Arabidopsis thaliana: one gene and its partners. The protein of the gene in region 2 purifies or fractionates together with the protein of the main gene of each other region. This does not show direct contact. Each region holds a gene or a part of one and is shown on either strand. Other genes may lie near its edges.

Region 1 (3,346 bases), 2.2 Mb from region 2:
GCAAACGAAACGGCTAGTAAAGTAGCGGGTTACTTATCTAACCAAGACTCAAGACACCAAAACAGACATGTTTGCATCTAAGATATGCTTATTTGTTGACAGATTAATAATACTCAGGGTAGTGGCACTGGTGGAACTTGGCCGTTGCTTCCGGTGCCAGCTCCAATGGTCGGGGTTGGCGCTTCAAATCCGGGGTTTGGGACAAGCGTATCATCGCCACCAGGGAGTTGGGTGTGAGGTCCGGCCCCTTGTCCACCATTATATGATGGGATTCCCCCACCAGTAAGTGGAGCTCCGGTGACAGGATTGTAAGGGTAGAACGGCTTCTTGCATTTGGGAGGAAGCAAGAACCTTCCAACACCGGGAATGAGAATAGTTGGTTTGGGCTCAATGGTTACAAGAAAGTCAGGGTGTTTGACATCAGTGGTCTTAGGGGACTTGGGAACGTGACGTAGTCCACTCACTTGCTCTACAGATCCAAGCACTAGGCTTAAAACCACGACAATGACTGCGGAGGTGATAAGTGAAGAAGCCATTAATTTTATTTTATTTTGTTGTAGAGGAGAAAGCTCGTGTGTTTGTTTGATCCTGTGGAGGGAATGTGTGTGTATGTATATAGTAAAATACTGAGCTAATTGTGGGAACATTTAACGAAGGTGAGATGATATGGTTGAAAATAAAGGGTGTGTAACAAATGGGTAGTGTGGTTATTATTAGCGAGCCTCCAAAGTTTGGTGGTAACAACGTATACGTACTTTTGTTGTTGCCTTTTAAATATAATTCTGTCTACAACTTTTGTTGTTGCTGTCTTAAATACGGCCTCATGGACCATAATACAGCGAGAGAGCCCAAATAGGTGAGTGGCTTTCATTTTTTGATATCCATATATTTTCTGATTAATTAATCTCGGATCAAACTGTGTTTAAGATTCCTATTAATAATAAGAAAGAAACTAATTAAAGATGCATTGTATACGTACACATGGTCATGTCCCGGAGAAGCAAAAGGAAAACAAAACGGTTGAATGCATAGAATAAGTGTAGAAGAGGCTGATCAAGGGACAGGGTAGGACTTATTGTTGCACATGCATTTATAAGCCATTGGACAAGTCTCAGCCTCTTCGACGGATGCACACACAAAGCTAACCATCACAAGACGGCATGGAGAACACGAGCCACACGCGTGTGAGCAATCTGGCAACCTAGACCCAGCCACCTGCACCGTGTCCGGCCTCCTCCTCTGACGCTTCAATGCCCCGGTCATTCCTACATGATGATGACCTGCACATGCACGCAGACATGAACAAGTTAGAGATCTTGAAGATAGTGAAAGAGCTGGAGTAAGAAAGATGTGCATAGATACATACTTGGATGGGAGGATGTTGGTAAATGCCTAGCCAAGAGAGAGCCAAAGAAGAAAGAGAGGAAAAAGGCAAGGAGAAGAAGAGACTTCATGATATATTATCGCAAGTGGTAAAAGTAAAATTTGGGATGAAATAGTACGGCGAGAAACAAGGTATATATGATCGTTAACAAAGGGTTAGGAAATTGAAGAGACTCACGGTAGAGAAGAGGAGAGAGTCACATGAAAACAAGATCGAACATATGAAATGATATAAATTTTGAGGAGATGATGTAGAGTATGTGAAGCCTAATTAAGAACTTGAACTTCATTCGTGCTGCTTTGGTGAGTGTCATGAGCTTCCTCTGTGAAAAACTGAAAGACATACTTTTGTGTGCAATCACCTTTAATTTACCCTCTATAACCCTTCTTTTCTGTGACCTTCATTAATGCACCCAATTAATGTTCTTACTAAAAAAAAAAAGTTGAGCATTTGATGAGATAGAATGAGGGACATTGTCTTGGGGCTTGTGTTTTAAAATCGATAATATAATAGAGTTAATTACACATGAGGTTATTAATGATTTAAATACTGATTATACTGAAATTGCACAATTGTTTTGAAAATGATAGTATGTTCTATACTTGACATCTCAATATTTTGACACTACTACACTTTAAGCGATTAATGAAAAAATATTAAAGTTTCAATCAACTTTGCACACAAAAAAAAGTTTCAATCAACATTTGAAGAGTGTCGAACATGCACCTCACCAATCACATTACACTATAACTTTTCTACACCTTTCTTTGGGATGCTAAATTTCAATGAAAATTTTCTTATTAAGTTTCTATTTGCTAAAGGGGGCAGAAACATCAAAGGTCAAATGATTTAGTTACCAAAGTCAACGGCTTAACATCATAAAATCATCTTCTAGGAATCAATGTCCCTTTGAGTAGCCTTCATAGTATAATCTTCAAAACTTTGGCAAGTTAATATATAAATATGAAGCACTCATAATATAACTGGTATAAGATAATGGTTTGGGATTTGACATTCGTTGCATTCTTAATCAATCTAATCGTTTTCTCAAACTGCTGCCAATAAATTTAAAAGAAGAGAAAAACTTATTAAGTAGAATGATGGACCACGTTAAAATATCTTAATAAGAATACTACATAAAATACTAATGGATAGTGTATAAGTTTAATTGGAATAGCAAGTTTTATGATTGGAGAGATAGAGCATAGAGAGATAATGAAAGTGGAGAGAGCTGACCCATTCATTCACCGACTTTTTAAGCTTTAAGCTGTTGACTTTTTCTTCTAACACGAACCTTTTCCCTTGTCTTTGTTTTCTTTTTGTTTTGTTTTGTTTTGGAGTTTGTTTATCTTTATCTGCCGAAAGTTTAAGACTTCAGCCTCCCACCTTGGCACCTCCTTGCGTCCACGTCATCTTAATATGTACCAAGGTTTCTAAGTTCTTCATGTCAATAGACATTATAACATATTTGGAATCCATATTATGCAAGGAGACATCGGTTTTACTAATGCGAATTGAGGGGCTTGTATAAAATCGGTCTGCTTCAGAAAACATTCCATTTTTCAACCCTTGAAAGTCCATTCAGTTTACCATCCAAGAGTTTTTCCTTGTTGTGAATGATAAGAAAATCCATAACATTTATCTAATTTTATCGTATTGGAAAAATAATTTAATATTTCTGAATACATTTATTAAAAATATAGTTAAAAACGATGTATTTTTAGCGTTTTATAATTATTTAGCATTATTTAGATGTTTTCGTTATTTTGTTATTACATCATTTTAATTATTATTCATGTGACTTGAAATTAATTACTTTTTAAGGTCGAATCTTTTTTTACGCCTGCCTTTACACTTCTTATTAGAAGGTTATGTATCGAAACAGCCATCCAAAATTTAAATAAATTCTAAAAGAAGTTATATATATTATGAATGTATGGTGATACTGACATGGGTAGGGTA
Region 2 (7,820 bases):
AAACTACTCACTGTTCTGAGAAATAACTTGTCCAAACCGAAGAAACAGTTGAGCATCAGAAGCACTCATGGAAGAGCAATTGACAGAATGAGGAGTCTTGAGATTTGCATACTCATCGACGTAGCACGAACCAGCCAGCGTCGCTGACGTGTCAGTCGCAGCAGGTGGTTGTTCCGATAGCATAAAACTGCCGAGAACACGAGTCACCTGGTGCATTGTGGGTCGATCATTCGGCTGTCTTTTGGTGCATAGGAGTGCCAGTTGGAAAACTTTCTTCACCACACCGAGATCTTTACACGTCGATGTGATGTCTGGATCTGCCATTTCCATCACTTCATTGTTCCCCGTCTTTGACATTATCTGATGTAAGTGAATCAATGAAAACAAGATTACGGACTTGACCTAAACAGAGCAGCTGAGAGAGATAGGCAAGAAAGAACAAACCAGATGGTGGAGATTGGATTCGTCATCAACGGCTTTCCTTCGGGTTAACAACTCAAGAAGGACTATTCCATAACTGTAGACATCGGATTTCTCAGTGAGCCGTGAAGTGCGAGCATACTCGGGGTCTATGTAACCTATCGTGCCCATCACGTAAGTTGAAGTATGTGACTTTGACACACACAAGCTTTTCGCTATTCCAAAATCTGTCAAACGAGCCTCTAAGTCTTTGTCCAAGAGAATGTTGGACGACTTCACGTCTCTGTGAATGATCCTTGGACTACAGTCATGGTGTAGATAAGCTAAACCTTGTGCTGCACCATATGCTATCTTAAGCCGTGTGTCCCAATCAAGAGTCTTTTTCTTCGTAGGGCCTTTACAAAACACACAAGCAAGTTGTTATGTCACAGAAGATTCAAATAATTTTCTATGTTTGGCGATGAGACTTACCATGAAGAAGATCCCAGAGGCTACCATTTTCCAAATAGTCATAGAACAGAAGACTCCCCAAGTGAGAGAGGGAATAAGCTTGTAGGCTCACAAGATTTCTGTGCTTGATGCTACTTAGCATCTCGAGTTCTGTTTCAAACTGTTTCATTGACTGTGGGTTGTGAGAGTAAAGCCGCTTAATCGCAACCGGTTTACAATTCTTCAAAACACATTTGTATACAGTGCTTGATGCTCCGTGCCCAATGATATACTTCTCACTTAGATTCTCTGTCATTCTCATGATATCCTCGTAAACGTGGAGTGCCATGTTCATATGAAGGATGACGAGCTTCGGTGTCGAATAAGTTACTGATGTCACCAGGAAATTTAAGGATTAACTATTGGATTACATTGTAGGTGAAGAACATTCGTAAAGTGGTTTGGAGAGTAGACCTGGTTTGTCAAGTGATCCATCAAGAAAAGGAGGAGGATTATGCGGTCGGCAAGCTGCTATTAAGACCATGAGAAGGATCACAAGTCCCCCAATAGCTATTCCAAGAATAGCTGCTCTAGAGATTGACACTGCAGACAAAACATGGATAGAAACATGAGCTTTAATTATCTTAGGTTTTGTGAATGGAAGCTTTTAGAAGAATGTAATCACCTCGTACAGTTCGACGAGAATCATGACACGGTGAGTTTAGCCAACTACCGCAAAGACCAGGATTGCCAATGAAGCTTTATCCAAAAACATAAACATAGATATTAGCAAACAAAACAAAATGCACAATACCAAAACCTGCTAAATTACCATACCTGTCTGGTGAAAATCTTGAGAAGTTATTGTTCTTAGGGATATCACCTACGAGGTTGTTATGAGATACATTCCTATAAGAGTTAGTGAAGATTGCAGGGTTATATTCTTAGCAAAAGATGCACAAAGAGGGACAAAAAATGTTTCAGAACCAAAGGTGCCTACTTACAATACAGTGAGACTGAGACAGTTGGCTAATGAACCAACATTACCAGTCAGGTTATTATTTTCCAGTCTCCTGCAAGCAATTTTAAGAAACACAACATTAGATAGATCACCAACCCAATACATGTTCCTGGATCACACTATAGTGACCTCATTATTGTGTATACAGAGTTTTAGTTTCATTCTACAAAAACAATTTCTTAACAGCTTGGAAGGGATAAGAGGAAGATTGCTTACAGCAAAATTATGTTCTGTAATTGGTTAAGCTCTTCTGGAATTGGGCCAGAGATATCATTATTTGAAAGATCTCTGCAACCACAAACACACAAATTCAGAACAGTAATTGAGATAAATGAAAAAAACTCTAACCAAGCAGATAGAAGTTAACTTCTTACATTTCCATGATGCTTCTTAGATTTCCAAAGTCGCCTGGAACTACACCAGTTATATGATTTCTACTCAAGTTCCTATAACAAGAATGCAAGAGTTCACAAACCATTTTCATCTTTTGCTAGAAATAAACAATAAAACTGGAGGTCTTATGGATGCTCACATCTTGAGAAGATGCTCCAAATCACCAAGGGAAGAAGGAATGATTCCATTTATCTTGTTGTTGGAAAGATCCCTTCAAATGTCATTAAATTTAATAAATGTGAGACAAGGCACATATAATGATGTATACTTCACAGAAAACAAGAAACACTTACAATGTATCTAAGTTACCGATACGAGATAGCTCAACCGGGATTGGACCTTTGATATTGTTGCTGGACAGATTACTGGTTGAACCGATAAATCAAAGGCAACCAAAAACTCAGTAGTTAATGACTTGAAATTCGAAAAAACAAACGCTGTGGAACTATATATTATATAAGATTAGAGAAATTCTCAGCGTCGATACTTACAGGTAAGTCATACTTTCTAGCTTTTGAAATGCTCGGGGTATAGTGCCACTAAACTTGTTCCCATGAACATTTCTACATTACATTAATGAGACACAAAATCATATAAAGCACCAATCTTGAACATTCAAGTGAGAAGTTTTCAGAGAAAGAGATACATACAAGCTGTTTAGATTTGTGCAAGAGCTCAGATGATCAGGTATAGGTCCTTCCAGATCATTGTTGGCCACATTCCTATATGTACATAGTTCATATAAGCATAAGAACATCAAAACATGTCAAGCATAGGAAGAACTACTTACAGATCAAACAAGTCAGTAAGCTTCCCAAGCTCTGGTGGTATATGACCCGTGAGATGATTATCATTGAGTTCCCTATGAATATTTTACAAATAGTTGATAAGGAAACACAACTTAGTAGTGACTGTATGCAAAAAGAGAAGTGAAGAGAAGGTTGGTCATACAGGTAATGGAGTTTTGACATGTTTCCAAGCTCAGGTGGAATTGAACCAGTCAGCTTGTTACTGTGCAAATACCTAGAGATAAAGCCAAAAAGATAAATCACTATCATTAACATGGTATGACATTTGACTCCAAACTGAAAACAAACAGGTAAAGAATTACAATTTCTCGGTGAAAGTAAGATTTCCGAGAATCGGAGGAATAGATCCACTCAACAAGTTGCCACTTAGATCTCTGTAAAAGAAAACATATAACCTAAGTTCATGAAAATGTTATAAGTAGCTTCATTGATTAGAAGAAAAGTACTTACAAGACTGCAAGGGCTTGCATGAGACCAATCACTGATGGAATCTTCCCAGAGAGTTGATTGCCTTGCAATGATCTAAGATAAGAAAATGATCTTCTTTAAAAGAAAACAAAGGCTAGCCAAAATTTAAAGCAAAAGATTAGTAGAGGTGAGAACTAACAATGTTGCAACTTGCAGGAAGCCGATGTCAAAAGGGATCTCACCAGTTAGCTGATTGTAGGACAAGTCCCTGAGTTCGTAATAAGCAAACCAGTTAAGTAGATTTTCTTAAGTAACCCAAATTACAGTAATGATGTTTAGAAGTAGAGAAAGAGGCACATACAAAACCTGGAAGGCAGTGCAATTTCCTATCGTCTCAGGTATACTACCAGTCAAACTGTTGTTTCTTACGTCACTGATTCAATATCAAAACAAAGTCAGATATTTGATATTTACAAAAGAACTCATCATACTATTCAGATGTGCAAGAAGACTCACAAATACCAAAGACCAGTCAGTTGACACAAATCTGGAGAAATGTTACCGACTAAGTTGTTTCCTCGCAACCCACTGCTCATCATAGTACAACAATTATCACCGGGTAATGAAGAGACATTGACAGACTTCAAAAAACATTGACACTTACAGATACTGAAGAACTTCATTCCAGTAAATAAGTCTTGGTATCTCACCACTGAGTTTATTCTGTGCCAAGTCCCTGCAATTGAAATTACACATGTATGATCACCTATATAGCTAAAAGTAGTAAGACATGTAAGAATCATGGGGAACATACAGAATTTTCAGGTTTGGAATCTGTGAAAGTGTTGAAGGGATCGGTCCTATCAATTGGTTATTCTTCAGAATCCTGGACAAAGTAAAAATCCATATTCCACATGGTGAGTATATTTTTAGCAATGACATATGAAGACTAGTAGCAGAATAACTAGCTACTTACAGCTGCTCAAGTTGCTTCAACTTCGAAATCGAAAACGGTATGTCACCACTTAATTCATTGAAGGATAAGTCTCTGAATAAAAAACAACATGAACACACTTCATCAAATAAAACCTCTATGAACAAAAGTTTAATGGTAGAATAACACCAATCACTGTTCTTACAAGTTTTGCAAAGAAGAACAGTCACCAATCTCATCAGGGATTTGTCCAGACAAGCGATTACCTCGCAGATCACTACATTAGAAAAAAACAGAAGACAAAAGTCACAACTCAGAGAGTGGAATAGAATTAAAGTAAGATACTTTATTTCATGCTACAGTGAATGTTGAAACAGTTACATTGACAAGAGACTCTTGAGATCTCCAATAGCAGGTGAGATTTCTCCATCAAGATTCAAATCTGACAAATTACTACAAAACATAGAAAACACACACAAAACAAATTACAACTTTTTCCCACAAGAACACCAAAAACCACTGTAATAGTAATCTAAAGGAATGAAGAAACTTACAGAGCAACAACATTGAAGGTGACATTTTCACAAGACACACCTCTCCAGACACAATAATCCGAAGAAGGTGAAGTTGTCCAGTCATAAAGAACATTGTTCACATCTTTGAATGACTTCTTAATCTCCAGCAACGTTGCTCCTTTAATTTTGTTTTAAGGATATTTTATTAACACACACGCACAAAAACAAAAAAAAATATTTGTCAGTTCTTGAGAAGATTAAAAATTCAACTTCCAAGAAAACAAAATAAAACTCAAACCCTAATTTATTCAAAGCTTCTTTTGATTCTATAGAAGACCCACCAAGTAAAAAAAAACCATTACAAAAAGCAAAAATAGAAAATAACAAGTACCCAGATCTCATTTTCACCAAATGAAACTTCAAAAATCATATAAAAATCTCATCTTTAAGTTTTTTTCACTAATATAAAACAAAAAGACGAAAATCTTGAACTTGAAGAAGCATGCATCAGTATAATAACTGACCCTCCTCTGAAGTCACAGTAGCTACTAAGCTCAAGCAGAAGAGAAACCCAAGAAGAACAATATCTCTAAACAGAGCCATTTCTCACACACAGTCTTAAAACGACTGCGTTTTTAGATATACTTTAAAAGCTTTCAAGTCTCCATGAAGAAGAAACAGAGGATAGAGAAGAAGAAGAGAACCGTATTATGTACCGACATTAGATTTTTTTTCTTTCTTTTATTATGATTTCTACAGAAATTTGTTTTTGTTTTTTTACTTTAACCGAGAAAAAATGATTTTTATCGTTCCATCACATCAAATTCTGGCGGAAATTTACAGTGGTTTCATTGAGTGCTCAGACGACAGAAATACAGAGTAAGATAGAGATGGAGAGAGAAAGAGAGAGAGTCTTTAAAGAGAGGAGATTGTACAAATGTAGGGACCTGTTGTGTAAGAGAGAGAGATGAAGGGAAGAAGAATTATTTGGGGAGGATAAAGTTAAAAACCCCATCATCTTTTATCTCTCTGCCAGAGTTCTGAAGCTTTGCAGAAGAGAGAGATAGAGTGAGTGAGAGGGAGTGATTTTGTTTCTCTCTCTTGAAGGGTAAAACGGTCATAAAATGTAGAAGAAGAAGGAGAAGAAGAACATGTTAATGGCAGTGGTGAATAAAGGAGGTCGCTTTCGTTGCCCAATACTTACGAGTCTTTGTCTCTCTGTGGCTTGTTTCACAGATGACCCATATCAATAAATCCATCTTATGGGTACTTTTGTAATTATGTATTTTTATATGATTTTAGTGTAATTTTTTTGTTTGCTTAACATGTTCTTCTTCATCTTCTTACTTCAATTACTAATTTAAATTCAGGAGTTTACAAAAAGTTTGGTTCAGTTTTCTCTTCTTTAATTATTAGTATAGTTGTTGTGTTTTTGTCAACGTTTTTTAGTATAGTGAACGTGTGATTTCTAAGTGTTTTTGTTTATTACTAAATTTAGAAATATGCATGCCAATGATTTTTGGTTTAGCATCAACACAAAACTTAATAAAATATGATTGGTTTTAGGATGTTAACCGGTTTGGTTGGCTCCGGTCGGTTTGTCACAAAATTAATATTTTGAAGCTTTGAGAACGAAGTGGACTAAAACTAAAAGGGTCACAGGCCCAACAAAAGAAGGAAGAACTTAAAAAATAATAATTCCTTTTCATTTTAACTTCTCTTTTTTTTTTTGTTAAATCATTTATTTGTTTCAATAAAAATACACATAATATTATCTTTTCTCAAAAAGTACTATATAGTTAGAAAACTACATATTTATTTTAACCCAAATTATTATTTTTCCATTCCTTACACACTGTACGTTACACTTTTTATTATCATTTGCTGTACAACGTTAATATTTTTAACCATTTCTGCAATTGTTTACCTCTTTTTCATCCGCAAATTTCTAATTAAATTATATGTTGAATGTTCATAGCCATAATAATAATTTGTCCAACGGAGATAAGACGCCTCTGGTGTTATCCCCAATGTCGTCACTCCACGCTACCGTGAGCCTCCCACTGTTCTCCAACTCAAACCACAAAAAGCTAACGTGCGCAGCTACATTATCACCTCCGCCATGGAAACAGAGCCGGCGAGTTATCTCCGTCTCCTTTTTTCTCTCCCGTCTCCTCCTCCTCCCTAACGGTACACGCATCTCTCTTCAAATTCACCAATCCGATTCTCAATTTCACGAACTCGATTTTCAATATCACCAATTCGACTTTTGTTCATTTCAAATTTGGTTATTTATATGTTGATGATGATGATCAGATGCTATGGCTGGTGGCTTAATGGATAAATTGGATAAATACGTCAAGAGGTAACATTAAATCGTCTCCGATGCTTATTCCTTTGAATTCTGAAGTTAGATTTTGAAATGTTTGGTGAATTATCTAAAACTTAAAACCAGTTATTGAATAGGAAGAAACTTGATCCACTTGAAGCATATGTACCACCAGTGATTCTAGCTCAGTTACAAATCCAGGATCTTGGTAAAATTTCTCTGTTTTTTTGTTACACATTTGTTCTTAAAACTCTTGCTATATAAAACTTACACTCATGTTTATTTATGATGTTGGAGAGGGATTTTTGAATGTGGAGAAACCTGAATTTGAGGCGTGTAGACGCCAATTGCGGTCTGGTCCTGCTAGCTCTCTTCGTGTAAACATTCGAGCTGTAAGTTTTTAAAGCTCACTTGATGTCACTCATTTGGTTTCTGTTTGATGATGAAATGTGTAATGCAAACTCTTTCAGGTTGCTCAGTATGCTTCAGATGATGGTTTCTCCAAAACCGCCACTGATGATGTTGATCGATGTTTAAGGTACCGACAATGTTTGAATGAATG
Region 3 (3,888 bases), on a different chromosome or scaffold from region 2:
AAGCTGAAGAAGCTTTTTGAAGTTTATAAAGAATCCAAAGGAAATTGCAATTAGAACTTCAAAAACCATAGTTTGACAAAACATTCTTCTAGGATATGGTGTAAGTTTCCATCTTTAACCCTCTATTAAAAACTTTCTATGTTTTGATGTAGTGGTTTGAATCGTTTATGGTTTATGTGTATTGATGGTTCTCTTAACTTTCACAATGGAAGAGTTTTATGCTTTCATTTCTCAAACGGCTGGGGCTAATGGATAGTCAGCATTAGACAAATATTTGAATGAGCTGGTTTTGGACATGATAGCATTTAAGAGCATGGATATTTTGCATATTGGAGAAATAATGCAAATCGGTTCAAGGAGTTGTCTAAAATTGTAGCTTCAAAAGTCTTCATTCAGCATAGGAAGTCGGGTCTTAAACAAGTATCAGAGTTGTCTCCTTCCCTACTAACGTTTAAGCTTTGATATGCGCGAGGAATTGGCTATTTGACATATTTTCTTTTGTCATATTTCAATCAATTTGAATTTAAATGTAAATATGTTTTTTTGTTGTACTTAGATGATCATATTGAGTTATTTAATGAAGACAAAGATGGCAAGGGAGAAATATAAGAAGTTTAAATTTGCATTTAATTGCTTTTAGATTTGATACTTTGTTGAATTGTGTTCAAATTTGTTTTTAGATATATTTCAAAGTATAAGACTTTTGACTTATGTATTGATTAAAATATGAACCAAAAACTATTATGTTCAAATTTGGTTCTGATATGCCCATTGAACATCCCATTTGAACATAAACTTTAATGACATGAACGTTAATAGACATGAGTTTTAGTGGACATGAACTCCATTTATCTAATATCAAAATAGACATTATTAAAAATTGGAATGTGTTAATGGATATGGATAGCCTGCTATAGACTACCATTTTTGTTGGACATATCTTAAATTATCAACGAAGTACTCAAAAAATAAGAAAAAAATTCTGAAATAGTCTTGACCAACATTTCTTTCTTCTTAGACCTTCGAAACACATAAAAATGTTTTCTAGACCAAAACACATATTAATCATCATATTTGTTGGAGCTCAGATTTTATATAAATATCAACCAAGAAGAAAGGACTAGTTTAACCGCTAGGAATCTTTTTGTGACCAGAAAACATTTCTGCCTACGCTAGGAATCATCTATCAATAAAACATGGAATTTCTTCGTTACAAAAAAGAACTGAAAAATATGCTAAGCTCATTATTTGGTGCTTTGGGAAAAGGTCATTAAAACCAAGGGCAAGGTTCACGTTTGTGTGACAGGTTATTTTCAAGATGTCTGAACACTTTTTGGCTGCTTCTGTAAGTTCTCTGCTCTCTCTCCCATTGTGAACCTTATGACTACAATTATTAACTATTCCCTTATAGTAACTCCTTTTTTGGTCCCACGCCATATATTATATACCATATCTTTACGTATAAAACTTCTCTCTATATTCATGATACCACTAACACTTACATATTTAATGCTTCGACTTTTGTAATTATACATTCGTTCATCCTTGTGTACAATATGATCGATGGGCTTCTTGGTCTTTTAGCGGTAGAACTTTGTGTATATTAATATATATATATATGATTTACTGGTCATATTTTTTTATATAAACTATGATGTATTGGTCATAAATCGATGCTCAACTAATTTTTTTTTTAGTTTTATGTTGAACTATGATTTGTAGTGAAATATAGTCTTCTAGTTAAACATTTTCATCCATGGTTTATAATATGATTGATGAGATCTTCATATTATATATCCACTGACTGAACATGAAAACATGCACACAAGTCACAACCATATCTCAGGCTTTATTGCTACGTACATGTGAACAGTTTCTCATATTCAAAAATATTCATAGCCCGCGAACATGTTCATTGGTAACTAAAAGAATAAATCATAATGATTTTTTCTCAGAAAATCGACGAGAATCATGTGACCCTTCAACATGTGTGCCTCTTTTCATCATTTATTATCATAAATCATAAACACATAACCAATTCTTTCTCACCTTTTCCTCAACTATATATACACATATCTCACTTATCCCACCTTTAATACTTCACACACAACACATAACACACGTAGTACTTGCTTCCTATCATTTCTAGAAACTTCTCTTTAAAACCTCTGCCTCAACCAGAAAGTTTCTTCTTGTTAAAAAAAAAGATTATAAACATGACGAAGTTTGTACGCAAGTATATGTTTTGCCTCGTCCTAGTCTTCGCCGCGTGTTCTTTGGTCGTTAACTCCATTCGCACGCCGCCACTAAGTCCGTCACATCAATATCTTTTGGTTATAGTTTATATTTTACTTGGTAATGATTTTCATATATTAACATTTTATACTTTTTAATGTAGAAAACACGGTCAATGGCGGAGAAAAGAAAAACGCCGATATAGAACAAGCTCAAACGCACCACAAGGTAGGTCCTGTCTCCCACGGTGCACTTCTCTCATTTTAATTTATGTGCAAAAATACCATATTTTAATATATAAAAATATTTTTTTAATAATAACAACTGCATTTGATTTTTTCTTTTAATTAATTTTTAATTTTTTCTTTATAAAAGAAGTCATTGTCAATTAATTGTTTTCTTGTTGTAATGTGGTGAAGAAGGAAATAAGCAAAAACGGAGGGGTAGAAATGGAAATGTACCCAACAGGATCAAGCTTACCGGATTGTTCATACGCGTGTGGCGCATGTTCGCCGTGTAAACGTGTGATGATTAGTTTCGAATGCTCAGTCGCCGAATCATGTAGCGTCATCTACAGATGCACGTGCAGAGGGAGATACTATCACGTGCCATCTAGAGCTTGAATTGAATCTCCGCCGTTTATTTTTTTTTGACGTCTGTGATTAAAATATCAGTTTTGGCTGGCGGCGAAACTTTTTTTCTATTGTACAATTTGTTGGGATATTAAATTAAATGCTATTGGCCCACTTTGAAGTCTTATAATTAATATTGGGCTTTATTAGGCCTTTTCAAAGAGAGTTTGTATGACACGACCGAATCAGATTCTTGAACCGGTACATCACAAAGTCAAATGCTTCGGTTGGCCAATTATTTATTGTTTCCTTTTAAAAGCCATCTCCATCATACCGGTAACCGGTTAAACCAAAAAAATCATTTATGTAACAATGTGTAAAGTATAAACTTTTTCTTACTATGGATCGTTTTGAAATTTACATCTTCTTACATTAATCTGATTTGCATTAGTTAAAGAAATCATTTTCTTTTGTTCAAAAACTTAGACGTTTTTTTTTTTGGTTTAATTTAAAAAAAAACTTAGAAGTTAGAATAAAGTTTTGTTCTTCATTTTTTTGGTACACGAATAAAGATTTTTTTAGTTGTTTTTTTTTGGTAAAACTTTTTTTTTTGTTTTGTTTTTTATTAGTTGTTTATTTTCTCGTAATTTCTAATTTATGTTATGAGCATACAATATTCTATAGATTTTAAGTGTTTTTAGGGGAAAAAAACATTTGTAATAAATTTTACTTTTGTGTTTAAACTTTAAGCTATTTCCGTCTCGCTTTTTAAAGTGAAGACTAGTCTATGTTATTTGACTATGAAAAATGAAATTAAAAATGATTTTAAATCAGAAAATAAAACAATGACTTTGGCAAATAAAAATTTATTTATATTAATTTTGTCTTCCCATTTTGAAAAAGAAAGCTTGAAAATATCCCAAGAAGACATGGTCAATAGTCGAAGGAAGAAAGATAATGGGATGCAACTTGCAGGATTGTTAAATGACATATGACTGTTGAAGTAGCTCAAGATATATGGGCTACAAAGTCAACATGAAACATCTTAATCTGGACTGTTGAAATAGTGTTATCCTACGCA

Evidence for each region.
Region 1: the proteins of ER (region 2) and EPF1 purify together in Arabidopsis thaliana (affinity purification with western blotting, with the first as the bait; one study listed by BioGRID). This does not show direct contact.
Region 3: the proteins of ER (region 2) and EPF2 purify together in Arabidopsis thaliana (affinity purification with western blotting, with the first as the bait; one study listed by BioGRID). This does not show direct contact.

Annotation. Positions count from the first base shown.
Region 1 is NC_003071.7:8,982,126-8,985,471, forward strand, and holds EPF1 (epidermal patterning factor 1), read right to left. Parts: upstream 1,690-3,346; 5' UTR 1,455-1,689; coding exon 1,367-1,454; intron 1,281-1,366; coding exon 1,054-1,280; 3' UTR 738-1,053; downstream 1-737. Other genes in the region: AT2G20870 (cell wall protein precursor), read right to left, coding at 114-536. UniProt on the Arabidopsis thaliana protein: Controls stomatal patterning. Regulates asymmetric cell division during guard cell differentiation. Mediates stomatal development inhibition. Not cleaved by the protease CRSP (AC Q9LNU1).
Region 2 is NC_003071.7:11,208,364-11,216,183, forward strand, and holds the start of ER (Leucine-rich receptor-like protein kinase family protein), read right to left. Parts: upstream 6,300-7,820; 5' UTR 5,533-6,299; coding exon 5,454-5,532; intron 5,108-5,453; coding exon 4,969-5,107; intron 4,868-4,968; coding exon 4,796-4,867; intron 4,692-4,795; coding exon 4,620-4,691; intron 4,529-4,619; coding exon 4,457-4,528; intron 4,367-4,456; coding exon 4,295-4,366; intron 4,217-4,294; coding exon 4,145-4,216; intron 4,069-4,144; coding exon 3,997-4,068; intron 3,914-3,996; coding exon 3,842-3,913; intron 3,749-3,841; coding exon 3,680-3,748; intron 3,595-3,679; coding exon 3,523-3,594; intron 3,447-3,522; coding exon 3,375-3,446; intron 3,287-3,374; coding exon 3,215-3,286; intron 3,126-3,214; coding exon 3,054-3,125; intron 2,986-3,053; coding exon 2,914-2,985; intron 2,827-2,913; coding exon 2,755-2,826; intron 2,629-2,754; coding exon 2,557-2,628; intron 2,475-2,556; coding exon 2,403-2,474; intron 2,317-2,402; coding exon 2,245-2,316; intron 2,159-2,244; and 16 more. Other genes in the region: AT2G26340 (uncharacterized protein), read left to right, coding at 6,891-7,119, 7,246-7,294, 7,396-7,466, 7,556-7,650, 7,738-7,796. UniProt on the Arabidopsis thaliana protein: Receptor kinase that, together with ERL1 and ERL2, regulates aerial architecture, including inflorescence (e.g. shoot apical meristem-originating organ shape, elongation of the internode and pedicels, and adaxial-abaxial polarity), and stomatal patterning (e.g. density and clustering), probably by tuning cell division and expansion.
Region 3 is NC_003070.9:12,470,774-12,474,661, forward strand, and holds EPF2 (Putative membrane lipoprotein), read left to right. Parts: upstream 1-2,094; 5' UTR 2,095-2,216; coding exon 2,217-2,310; intron 2,311-2,398; coding exon 2,399-2,463; intron 2,464-2,654; coding exon 2,655-2,858; 3' UTR 2,859-3,201; downstream 3,202-3,888. UniProt on the Arabidopsis thaliana protein: Controls stomatal patterning. Regulates the number of cells that enter, and remain in, the stomatal lineage by inhibiting protodermal cells from adopting the meristemoid mother cell (MMC) fate in a non-cell-autonomous manner.